3 linked regions of the Solanum lycopersicum genome follow. The protein of the gene in region 3 binds, or shares a complex with, the protein of the main gene of each other region. Links are inferred from orthologs where the notes say so. Each region holds a gene or a part of one and is shown on either strand. Other genes may lie near its edges. The genes, in order: kinetochore protein NDC80 homolog, kinetochore protein SPC24 homolog and kinetochore protein NUF2 homolog.

Region 1 (4,152 bases), on a different chromosome or scaffold from region 3:
CGATAAAATGTTATATATTATACAAAATTAAATATCGTGTGTGTGTGTGAGAGAGAGAGAGAGGACCAGTGTCCAATTCTATAGTGGGAAAGGATGCTGGCTAAACTTACATCATCAATGTGAGCCTGAAGAGTAGCCAGACGATTCCTCTTTGACTCTAATTTCATAGCCTTCTCAGATGACTGTTGCTGGAGATATATCAACTCTTCCATTTTCCCCATGGAACTCTTTTTCATCTCATCTTCAAAGGATGCAAGAGTGGGCTTTAATGTTTTTTTGTAATTTATACCTAATACCTCTGCTGGTGAGGACCCTTGGGGATTCAATTGATACTGAAATTCATTTCCAAGCTTTAACCTGAAATTTCAAATGAGGCTGTTTGTTGTCAGAGTAATTAAGGAAATGATGACGAGCAACAAGTAGAAGGAAAGTTCCACCGCAAACCACAGAAAACATACAAAAATATACTTGCTCCATCTCACTTTGACTGATCTAGTTTCAAACTTACAATCTTAACCCCTCCCAAGTTATGATCTAAATCATCAAATTGTAGAAAATTTGCTCCAACAGTTCAATCTGATAAGCTATGGAAAAGAAAAGAACTTTTCAAGCAGCAACAAGAAGGCACAGAAATCTGAGAAATGATTGTTGCATAGAGACACTCCCACAAAATCTTTTTTCCCGAGTGGCATTTGGGTGTTTTCGTCCATGCTTTGGCCAAATTCAAAAAGTGTATCATCAATTGCCGCATAATCCAACAATAAAAACATGAATATAGAATAAAAAATATTCTTCATGAAGGACCGTCATATAGCTGGAAATACAGAACTCAATTCCAACATAGCACCCAGTCAGGCAAGATACATCTAATTAATGCAGAGACTACAACATTGAAGGATCAATTGTTCTTTAAAAAATGGAGGCATGCTGCAGCCTTAGTTTCTAACCGGAGTGATTGGAAAAACTAAATTCAAGAATCTATAACTAAAAGGTATGATGAGAATCTTAGCATTATTGCCTTGTGACTAGTATAGTGTTCCTCATTCATATCTCAAGTCAAAGTTTAGAGGAGCAGCACTACAACAATGGGCTAAATTGTGATTCTCATATATCACCGTAGCTAACAATTCACTACCCATTAGAGAAAGAAAGGCATGTTTTTGGAAGTTAGTGAATCAATTAAACTCTGAGAAGCACAGATATAAAGTCAGTTTACATATAACTTTCAGCAAATTGCATTCCCATTAATCTGTCACCTAAATTATCTGCCGAGAACCCATTATAGAAGCAATCTAACAGTATCATGTTGTAACGGCCATTTAAACTTAAGTGAATGTTGATAGAAACAATCAATTGAGGGAAAACAATATAATGTCCTTCCAATCTTATCTTAGTAGCCATATTCTTATAGCTTTAGTCCAACTAAAATAGCACAGCAATGCAATATATCCATGTTCATAGAACAACAAACACTTATATTACGAAAAATATTGAATCTCATGCTGTTAAATGGAAAGTAAGATACTCTTATTTCAAACAACATAAATAACAGGAGAGGGAATGACAACCTCCTGATAGATTGGTTGCACTCAATCATTAGCTCCTCAAGCTTCTTGTACATGTTCCCAATCGCAGAGTCGAGGTCCCAAGCCTTCTCCTCCCATTCAATCCTCTGGTTCTCAATATCCCCAATATCCCTTTCCAAAGCATGCAACTCCCTCTTCATCCTATCTGCATCCCTGGAATTAATCCCTTGTTCCTCCACCCTCTTCTTCAACTCCTCATTCTCTGCACAAATGCTCTCTTTCTCTGTAACCTTAGTCTCTAACCCTTTTTCTTTCTCTTCCACCATCTTATCCATTTTCACTATATGCCCTTCTAACTGTTCAATGATAGCCTGAAACTTCTTTACATCTTCCTCCAACGCACTCTTCTCCTTCTCCAACGTCTCTCTTTCCGATGGTCCTGTCTTCATTTCTTCCAACTTTTCCTCTTGAGCCTTCACATTCTCCTCCAAGACATTCACATCCTCAACCAACCGCTCCTTATGTTGTTCCAACTCTTGCATAAATTGGCGATCCAATTCATCTACTTGATCATCTTTCCCCCTAAAGTAATGCAAATAACTCTCTACAGTATATCTCAATTCCTTATTACTCGGAGCTAGTGGTTGAGCCGAACTCATCCGGTAATCATCAAATTTACATAGCTGAACAAGCCAGTGAATTGCTGCAAGTAGACTAGGCCAGGAATGAGGCGTCCCAGGGGCGCGTAATGCAGATTTGTTCAATTTCACGGGGCAATTTAGGGATTTCAGTAGGGTTTGGAGATCATCTTCGAGTTTATGCGACTCTGCTAAGGAAAATCCGAAACGAGAGAGAATGAATTTTAGGGTTTCGGTGATATCTTTTGCAGAAGGGAGAGGATGTTTGAGAGTAAAAGGGAGAGAGTGGGAGGAAAGGTAAGCATTGATTGTACGCAGAGCAGAGAGTTGATAGGAGCGGTCAGAGATGGGGATAGCGGAGGACCGAGTGTTTACACCGGCAGATGAAGGCCGGCTACTGGCGAAGCTTGCGTCGGAATCACGCCCGCCAGTGGAGATAAATTGCCTTGGGTCGTTTATCGGAGTCGGTGGTGGATGACGGCGATCCGGCACTGCAGAATTGGTACGACGGCGTCCGGCGCCTCTCATTGTTGAGTAAACTGCTGCTTGATCTCGGTGGCTAGTGAAAGGTACTTGTGTTTCTGCTTTGAAATTGGAAAATGAGTAATGGCGGCATTTCAATTAGAATTTCGGTTTAATTGTTTTTTAATTATGCTGTTTATAAATTTGGCCAAATAGACGTATCATGTTGGATTTTCACCCCTCATATATCTCAACTACGTTATTTTCCTATTAAATAATTAAAATTTTCATATCTGATGTGAAATCAGATTTTTAAAGGATATTAATAAAGGATACATACGTTGTTTCACAATTCATTAGTTCAATTAATAATGAAAATATTCGAGAACAATTGTATTTTATTTAGGTCATTTGAATACATTAGAAAATAAATGAGACAAACACGATTTTATCTTTATTTCTTCAATCAAAATTATTACAATTCGAACACAATTGAAAACATTTACAATTAAAAAGCCGATCAAAATCAACTAACAATATTCTAAAAGAACAAATTATGAATGATTCAATAATTTAATAAAAAAATGATATAGTTAAGATATCTAAGGAAAAAAACTCACCAAATTTAAAAATCTATTTACGTAGGCCTATAAATTTCAATCCTTTAAATTTGTCAACTAAACATTGATTTTCGTCAAAGTTGAAGGAGTAGTTTATTTACCTAAAAAGGTATTGCATGTTACCTTTTGCTTAATTTAATTTAAATGATACTTGTCTGATTTATAAAATTAATCAATAATTTATTCTTTTGTATTTATTTTGTTCTTATTATTAAATATTACTTTTATTTTTTTAATATTTTGAACTCCCTTCATTTCAAATTAATTGAATTGTTAAAACATTTTCTTATTTTACAATTAACTTAATTGTTTAATTTTCAAAACTATTATTATAATGTTCTTCCAATTTTACCTTTCATTAGTTAATATTGAAATTAATTATTAATTAATATTTAATTATTTTAATTATAAATTTAATAATAATTAATAAGAGTAAAAATAAAAAATTATGCTTAATTTATATTAAAAAAAAATCTTAAATGTATGAAATATCTCATCAATTTAATTAATTGAAATGGAAGAAATATTATTAAAATAATTTGATAAAATTTCATCAATTATTTATTACTTTTAAATATTTGTCTGAAGACTATGATAAATAATTATCGTTTAACAGAGGGAGGTAGAAGGGTCATGTTGGCAAAGAAAAAAAAGTTTACCTAAAATTTCCTCCTTCTATTCCATTTTAATAAATCAATTAAACTTATATTATTTATAACACTTCGTATTCTCTCTATATATAAATAAATATATATATCATGATGTGCCACTTTATCATCTAATAGATCTCTCCCTTTCCAATAACGTGATTAACTTTTCATTAATAAAGCTTCTCTTAATTAATCACAATAGAAAAGATTTCAGTATTAGTTAAACGTCTATTTACTTTTACAATAATAAACACTT
Region 2 (4,302 bases), on a different chromosome or scaffold from region 3:
CTTTTCATTAAGGGTCAAATGGGAAGTGTAAAGTTAATTGTTTACAAATTTAGAAATGTGTTATTCTTTTCGGAACGGGCTAAAAAGAAAAGTGTATCCCATAAAGTGGGAAGGAGGGGTATGTTTGGTTGCGTCCAGACAAAGTCAAATCAGGTGTATATTCAATTTGTAGAAATACTTAGTTGGGCGATAGTTACACCTAGACATCCAAAGATGTAATGTGGTAGAACTTGGTCGCACCAGATGGGATGTTAATGGACTATCTTAACAGTGATTGGCATATGGCAGATACATTCAAATATGTGTACCATGTTGCAATATGGAACTGAGTAGGCAAATTATCCACAGAATATGATGAAAACATGTCAGACCCTCCCAACCTCTTGAGATACTTTGACAGCATAAAGTTGCAAAAGCTTAACGAGTCAACATATCAATATCTTTTTCTTTTTTGATGACCGAGAAACCTCAAGGGCCAGCAGGCACGGTTTGAACTTAGAGGATGAGGAGGAGTCAACAAATGCCACGATGGGATTGTTTCAACGAAATTTGTAGAAGTATGTTGGAAGCAAATGCCTGACATAATCATAAACATATTAAAGTACAAGAGGTTATGATTACTTACTCAGCTCGAAGATGATCTTGCTCAATTTTCTTGAGCAATTTCCTGTGCTCCTCAATAGAGTCTCTTTGGCGATCTAAATCATTGATCTCATCGGTTATAACTGTGTTTAAAAAAGGTGTCAATCAGTAAGCATAACACTAAATTATCTGAGAAATACAAATTCATGCATCTAACGTTGTTTAATATACTTATCTAAGTTCTTCTCTAAGCAGTTGTTCTCTCTGGATCTCCTGTTCTAACTCTTTCTGCAGCTTATCTATTTCAGCCTCTGCAGCAGCTTCAGATTGTGCTTCTGTTGTTCTCTGCTTACATGCATTTATCTTTCCTTGATAATCTGAGTGTATGCAATGACTTGAAATTAGTCATTTAATACTTTCAAATTCACAAATCCGAACATCTCCCAGTACAATCATAAATTAATGCTTGAACAAAGACACTTAATACCAACATAATTCCAATTTCCAACTTATTTAATAAGAAAAACAACATGTATGTCTGAGGCCAGAGAGAAATCATAGGAGCAGGGTTGGGCCCTCGAAAGGAACCAAAGTAGTGGTCTGTTGAGCTAATCATTAAACTAGACACACGTACTGGGCCTCTACATATTTTTGCATTATAATTGGCTAAAAGGACTTCAACTCGGAAACAAACTGCACCAAAAGTAGAAATATCACCAAAACTATCAGGAATAAGTAGGTAATAGCACCAATTTTTACACTATATATAGTACATTCCAAAAAAATCTCATGAGGGTTGGCGTGAGAGGATCCAGATTCCAGCAGTAGTACTCATGAAGGTATAAAAGACAGAGACAGAGACTCCACACTCCCCAAAATGTTACTAATAAAAGAAACATCCAGAAATGACGATATTTTGCAAGAAGAAATTTTGACCTGACACTCCAGTAAGCTAGCAAACAGAAAATGGTGTTTCAGGTCAACGTTAAGAGACTTATCCACTAATAATTGGTACTAAGAAAAAGAATCATCCAGATGCAAGAACATTGTAAAGTTTGTCTACATTGATTCAAAATTCCAATCTTACGCCGAGTTTTTTTTTCACTACATAGTTTTTAAGGATCCAGGAAGATCCTATTGCGTCGTGGTGACCCTGAGGTTTGAACTATGCACTGTGGTTCAACTTACAGCCTCAAGGCAGATGTCCCTTGGGTTCAATCTTTAAACTAATTAAACTAATAAGAAGTTGATTCAACCCCCATTTTTCTCTTTCATTAAAGGAATGTTACTGAATGAAACATCCAAAAAAGATATCACTAAAAAGCAAGGTTTCAAGTGTAAAGAAGTATCTATAAAGCAGAAGTGCTACGAGGAGTAAAGAAACTGCATTAAACAGCAAAGCACATTGTAAACTCAGTCTATATCAGATTAAAAGTTGCAATCTTTAAGCCAATGTTTTTTCTCTCTCACATTGTTCATAGGAAGTAGGGAAGGTCCAGTCAGGCACTACTAAGCTAGTATGAGTGACACCACCGAGATCTGCAGCTTAAATTGTAACCTCCTGACCAGTAGGTTGTCTCTTGGGATAATCCATTAGCTAAGGGAGCATTTGGCCATAAAATTCAACTTGCATTTTCAAGAATTTGAAAAACACCAAAAACTTTCTTCACTCCAAATCAATCATAAAAATTCAGAAACAACCCAGAATTTGTATTCATGGCCAAACCCAACTCCAATTTTCAAATACTCACAATTTTCATGGCCAAATGCTTCAAGTAAACACAGAAAGAGGTTCACTTAGTAACCATCCTACCATTTCCAAAACAAAAATATCAAAATTCAACAGTAAGAACATTATACACACAATTCCAAAGGTTCAATCTTGAAGCTAACTTATTCTTTATCACATAGTCTTATGACTCTGAGGATTGGGGAGATCTCCAACTGAGAAAGATTCAAACTTTAAGCCACTAAGAAATTCAACAAACCCTCAATTTTACAAAATTAAAAACGAAATACAAGAACCCCACCTTGAATGGAATTCTGAAGAGCCTGGTACTCAGATTGGCAGTGTGATTGAAGGGCATTAAATTGCTCTTTACACTGATTCAAGAAGCTGACATCTTTATCTTCTTTCAAAAACTGAACAAGATCCTTACTGAAGGAGATCAGCTTCTCTACATCCACGTTATTCGACCCATCCACCATTTTCGACCTCTCCAGACCAAAGTTTAGGGCTTTTTTCTCCCTCCGAATGTAGTAATTTGAAAAGAAGAATGATTAGCGGAGTTCACAGAAAAATAGAACTCCTCCCTCCCGTTAAATTATACTATGTACTTTGTTACGTTTATTATTTTATTAAATTATTTTAAAAAATAATTTGATAAATAATATTATCATATTTAATTTGACTAATTTTTAAAATGAAATGAAATTATATTGATTTAATAATTAAATAAATATTAAAAGTATTATAAATTGCAATATCTTACCTATCTGATGAAAAATCAGTGAAATGTGAGTTAAACATACATCTTCGTTACATTTTTAAGTCGAATTAACCTTTTAGCATAAATTTATGTTTGATTTTGATAATTTAAGTATATTTTTATTAAAATATTTTACTATACTAGATAATTGAAGGCCCGTTCACGTGCTTAATATAATTAATTATCTTTTCAATTTTAATTTAAAATTTTTATCTAAATTCATATCTTATTTTATTATATTTTTTAAAATTTTCTACCATTTAAAAAAATTACAAAAATTCTCTCAGCTACGTTCTTATCCTCTGTGTACATCAATATCTCCTCTCGGATACATCTATATTCTCTCTCGGCATCTTCATCCCCTCTTTAATATATCTCTATCCTCTCTTGGATACATCTCTCTCCTTTCAGATACACCTATATTCCCTCTCGAATACATTTCTTCTCTCTCTGATTCATCCACGAGATATGTTTCTGCAAGTTTTCTGAATAATATCGCGACCGATGTTTTTGCATTTCTGTTGATGAATATATGAACTTTTTGTAATTTAAAAAAGAGTGGAGATACAATGTAATTAACTTTTAACACTATGAAAATTTATGTGGTATATTTTTCTGTGCAGTCAATTTCAAAAGAATAACGTATCAATATATTTAATAACATTTTGACTTCAAAAATATTCATTTTATTCTTAGTAAGATGATTTAAAATCATATGAACATCTATGGCTAGTTTTAAACTACAACAAAAAGTGTTTTTTTTTAAAAAAAAGAAAATACTTCATGTTAAAGTCAAATAAACATTACATAAATCAAAATGAACTAACTGACTACAAACTTTAGATCAATTTTATATTTATGAAATTTAAGTTTTTGTAACTATTTTGCCTTTTAACAAAATTTAAAATGAAAATACTAAAGTTTTTTTCACAATTATTTTTATAGTAATTTTTTTTAACAATATTTTGTCGATAATATCAAAATTGTAATAAAACAAGATAATAAAATAACTTAACTTTTTTGAAATTCAAGTATTGATATCAATTGAGAAAACATTTATTTTAAAGTTATAAAGCATTTATAATCTAATATTTGATGCGCTCCTTGCCCTCGACGAATGACACTATCTTATCATAAGAAGTAAAATCAAAATTAAAAAGTGCAGCTCACTATTATATGAAAGTCATTATGAGTTAATTGCCACTCGTTAGAATATGTCATATGTTAATTG
Region 3 (3,375 bases):
TTATAAATCTCCTGCAACTTCTCTTTTACATACTACTATGTCATTTCTCGTTTATTGAGCATAAATAAGGGTATAGATGCAATTTATGAGTTGAAAATATAGTATACAGGTTGTATTGGATGAACAGTACCTTTGTATAAACCTCAAGAATTGCTGTTTTATCTTGAAAAGACTGCATTGCTGCTCTTTCAGCATTCCTTATCTCAGCTTGAAATGATTTCTTTTCCTCCAGAGCTCTCTAAAAAATTCAATAGTCAAAAAATTAACACATAAAACGAAAAGGCTGCAGCATCTTGATGTTAGAGGAGCAAGCGCAGAAAACTTGCAATTAATTTCACAAACAGAATTTGAAATGATCTAGCTAAAAGAAAGATCTTAACTTAGAGAAAGTGGAACCACGCCTCAGAGAACAGAGGCAGATATGTCATTGGTTCATCAAAGCAAGAGAAATGTAAGAAATCCAAATTAGATACTTTAGTTACAGCATGTAAATCAGTCATATTTGCAATTATGTTCAGTATTAATATACCAGCATGCTCAATGTCATAGCACCCTTGACAAATAACAAACCACATCACTTGCACAAGATATCCAGAAGACACAGTTGATGCATACTCTTTTAAAACCAGCTCAACAGTCAGTAATAACTCATACCTGAAGCTTATCTGGTGATTGGACAATCTTAGAACGCAAATTGGCATTGTCATGAACAGCTTGTACCAATGCAAAGTCTGCATTAGAAATCTGGAAGGAGACAAAATGCAATTGGAATATTAGTTCATAACACAGATATCTAGCTTGTATTCAATAATATGCGATAAACAGTAACTGTGCCCAAGGGTGTGGCCTAGCGTTAATATAGTGGGTGAAATTCATGGAAGACCAGGGTCCAATACCAACAAAACACTAGGTGATTTCCTCCCATATGTCTAAACTTTGATAGGTAAAGTTACTCTATACTTTTATTGGTAGGAGATGGCGAGTACATGAGATATAATTGAGGTGTGCACAAGATAGCCCAAATACTACCATTACACAACAATTGCACTTAAATTCCAAGCAAGTTGACATCGGTCATATGAATCCACATTGACAATGTTGTTCTATTTATACTCATATCAAGCCAATATTTGACATTATTTAGAAGTACTCAAAGTATTCGTTGAACAGTTATCACCAACTTAACATCCAGGATATTTCAAAGAAGAATCTAAAATATTAGAGACTTATAGAGAATTGAAATAAGAGCTCTAGAATGAAAGTTCTAGAGAGGCAGGTCTACGAATATTCTAGGAAGGGCAATTCCAGAAATAAGTGGAAGGGTTTATTCTACAATGCTCAACTAAGTTTTTCCATCACCACCTATAAAAAAGGATGGTCATTTGAGATGTATGTGTGCTCAAGTAAGTCATCAAGTGAGAAGTGTGAGGAGCAAGTGAGAAATAGGAGAGCAACAAACAAAGTTGCAAGAAAGTGAGTGAAAGAAAAAAAGTAGTCCTTACTTTGTAATAATAAATTCAAGTTGTGAGCAACCAATTATGTTCAAGAATACTCAACAATTCTCTATATTTTCCACTGATGTAAATCTCTATCATACAAATCTTTTACTGGGATAAAAAGATCCCTAGACACATAGGACCCAAAGTAAGCCAACACCAAACATATGGCAGATAATCCAGTGTTAGGCTATTAGCAATTCATGAAACAAATATGACATTAAAAGGAGAAAAAAGCCAAACAGCTGACCTTTTCATCTATCTCTTTAGCCCTTTCCTTAAGTTTTCTTATTGAGGCCTTCAACGACATTTGGTGATTGTTAAGACCAGAAATTGTTTGCCTCAGTTCCTTAACATTAGAATCTATTTCTTGAACCAAAGGCATCTCCCTTTCTCTTGATTCATTTTGTACTGCAATCTCTTCATTTAACTGTGAGGTACCGTGTAAGTAACTTGAGAGAAACTTTGCGAAAGAAGCTTCCTGTAAAAATGTTTTCTACTACTTCAGATACCTGAGATATTCTAGCCTCCAGAGCTAGTCGTTGTTCATCAATGAGAGTCAGATCTTCCACAATCGGCCTTATAGCATTTAATTTAGTGTCCCTAAATTTGTCAACAACATATTAAAGAGAAAAATTGAGCAACACTTTGTTTTGGGGTGAGATGGGGTGATAATTCAGTAAAAGGATAAAAGAAAAGAACAGAAATCTCAGGCAAAAGCTAGTAAACTTCCTCATTCTAGCTATTAATTGGAAGCATTTTTTCTGCAAAGTATTTTCATTTATCAGAACAAACAGAGAAGCATATTTGCTTGCCAAACTTAGGTAAACTAGAAAGACAAAGTTTATCCATATTTTGTATCTCTTTGGAGGTTGATGAATGAGATGGTGAAGAATGATTGTTTGTAAAAGTATGCAAGATATATGGTTGCCTCAGTAAACAAAGACAGCAAGTGGTCGATTCAAAACAAACAGAGAAGCATATGTTTGCCTAAGTTAACAAAAAAAGCCCTTTGAAAACACAAAAGAAAGTAAAAAGTGAATGGGACCTGTGAAGACAAAAGTTGAGGATGGCTCCGACAAAGAAGCGGGTACGATCAGGGTCAGGCTTGATCAAATCTCTTAGAGTAAATATCTCTGGACAACCCAAAGCAGACAACATGTTCCTTATCTTATGAAACAAATTAATAGTCCGAAAAGAGTCGACATGAAGATCCGGGTTCTCAAGGTATTCCAGAGCGGAGAAATCCACCTGATCATGATCATCCCTAAAAGACAAGAGAAAGTAATTAAAAATAAAATATGATTGATTGAAACAGAGAAGTAAAGGTTGGATTATTAAATACTGTAGAGTATCGATATGGAGAAGAATGCTGGAGTAGAGTTTAGTGACAAAGTCGGGAGTGGGTTTGATGAGATCTTCGTCGGAGACAGACGCTATTTGAGCTTCCCCTAATACAGCGATGATGTCTTGTCGGGGGAGTGTTGGGTAATCAAATCTCGACATTTCACTCTTCTTTTGCGAATCACCACTTTCTGAATCGGGTTCAACTGTAGCCGACGAAATTCAATTTAAAATTCAAAAGAGAAGCTGAAATTAAATATTGGGAAATGGAAACTCAAACAAATTCATCAAACAGAAACCTCAAACAAACCACATTGAGTTTCAGAAGAGAACTCTAGTTTCGTGTAATAAGATGCATAGCAACAGTCTCTGTTGTATGATATCTCACAATTTCACAATTAACACACAGGCACCTAATCAACCTTGTAGTTAAAAAATCAAGCGTCTTTGCAAGATTTATAAATCTAGTGAACCATCAGCAAACTCCGGAATCAAACCCGTTCGACCAGGATTGTTTCTACTATACATCCAACTA

What was found.
Region 1: kinetochore protein NUF2 homolog (region 3) and kinetochore protein NDC80 homolog share a complex: the UniProt entries of both Arabidopsis thaliana proteins name them as parts of the NDC80 complex. The link is inferred for Solanum lycopersicum from reciprocal best matches to the Arabidopsis thaliana genes AT1G61000 and AT3G54630.
Region 2: kinetochore protein NUF2 homolog (region 3) and kinetochore protein SPC24 homolog share a complex: the UniProt entries of both Arabidopsis thaliana proteins name them as parts of the NDC80 complex. The link is inferred for Solanum lycopersicum from reciprocal best matches to the Arabidopsis thaliana genes AT1G61000 and AT3G08880.

Annotation. Positions count from the first base shown.
Region 1 is NC_090800.1:89,053,694-89,057,845, forward strand, and holds the start of kinetochore protein NDC80 homolog, read right to left. Parts: upstream 2,816-4,152; 5' UTR 2,693-2,815; coding exon 1,569-2,692; intron 358-1,568; coding exon 111-357; intron 1-110. UniProt on the Arabidopsis thaliana protein: Acts as a component of the essential kinetochore-associated NDC80 complex, which is required for chromosome segregation and spindle checkpoint activity to ensure proper cell division.
Region 2 is NC_090803.1:60,966,890-60,971,191, forward strand, and holds the start of kinetochore protein SPC24 homolog, read right to left. Parts: upstream 2,903-4,302; 5' UTR 2,791-2,902; coding exon 2,613-2,790; intron 960-2,612; coding exon 817-959; intron 727-816; coding exon 626-726; intron 1-625. UniProt on the Arabidopsis thaliana protein: Acts as a component of the essential kinetochore-associated NDC80 complex, which is required for chromosome segregation and spindle checkpoint activity to ensure proper cell division. Required for the maintenance of plant architecture.
Region 3 is NC_090809.1:11,522,595-11,525,969, reverse strand, and holds part of kinetochore protein NUF2 homolog, read right to left. Parts: 5' UTR 3,140-3,375; intron 3,047-3,139; 5' UTR 3,003-3,046; coding exon 2,842-3,002; intron 2,764-2,841; coding exon 2,545-2,763; intron 2,100-2,544; coding exon 2,009-2,099; intron 1,927-2,008; coding exon 1,747-1,926; intron 745-1,746; coding exon 655-744; intron 239-654; coding exon 131-238; intron 1-130. UniProt on the Arabidopsis thaliana protein: Acts as a component of the essential kinetochore-associated NDC80 complex, which is required for chromosome segregation and spindle checkpoint activity to ensure proper cell division.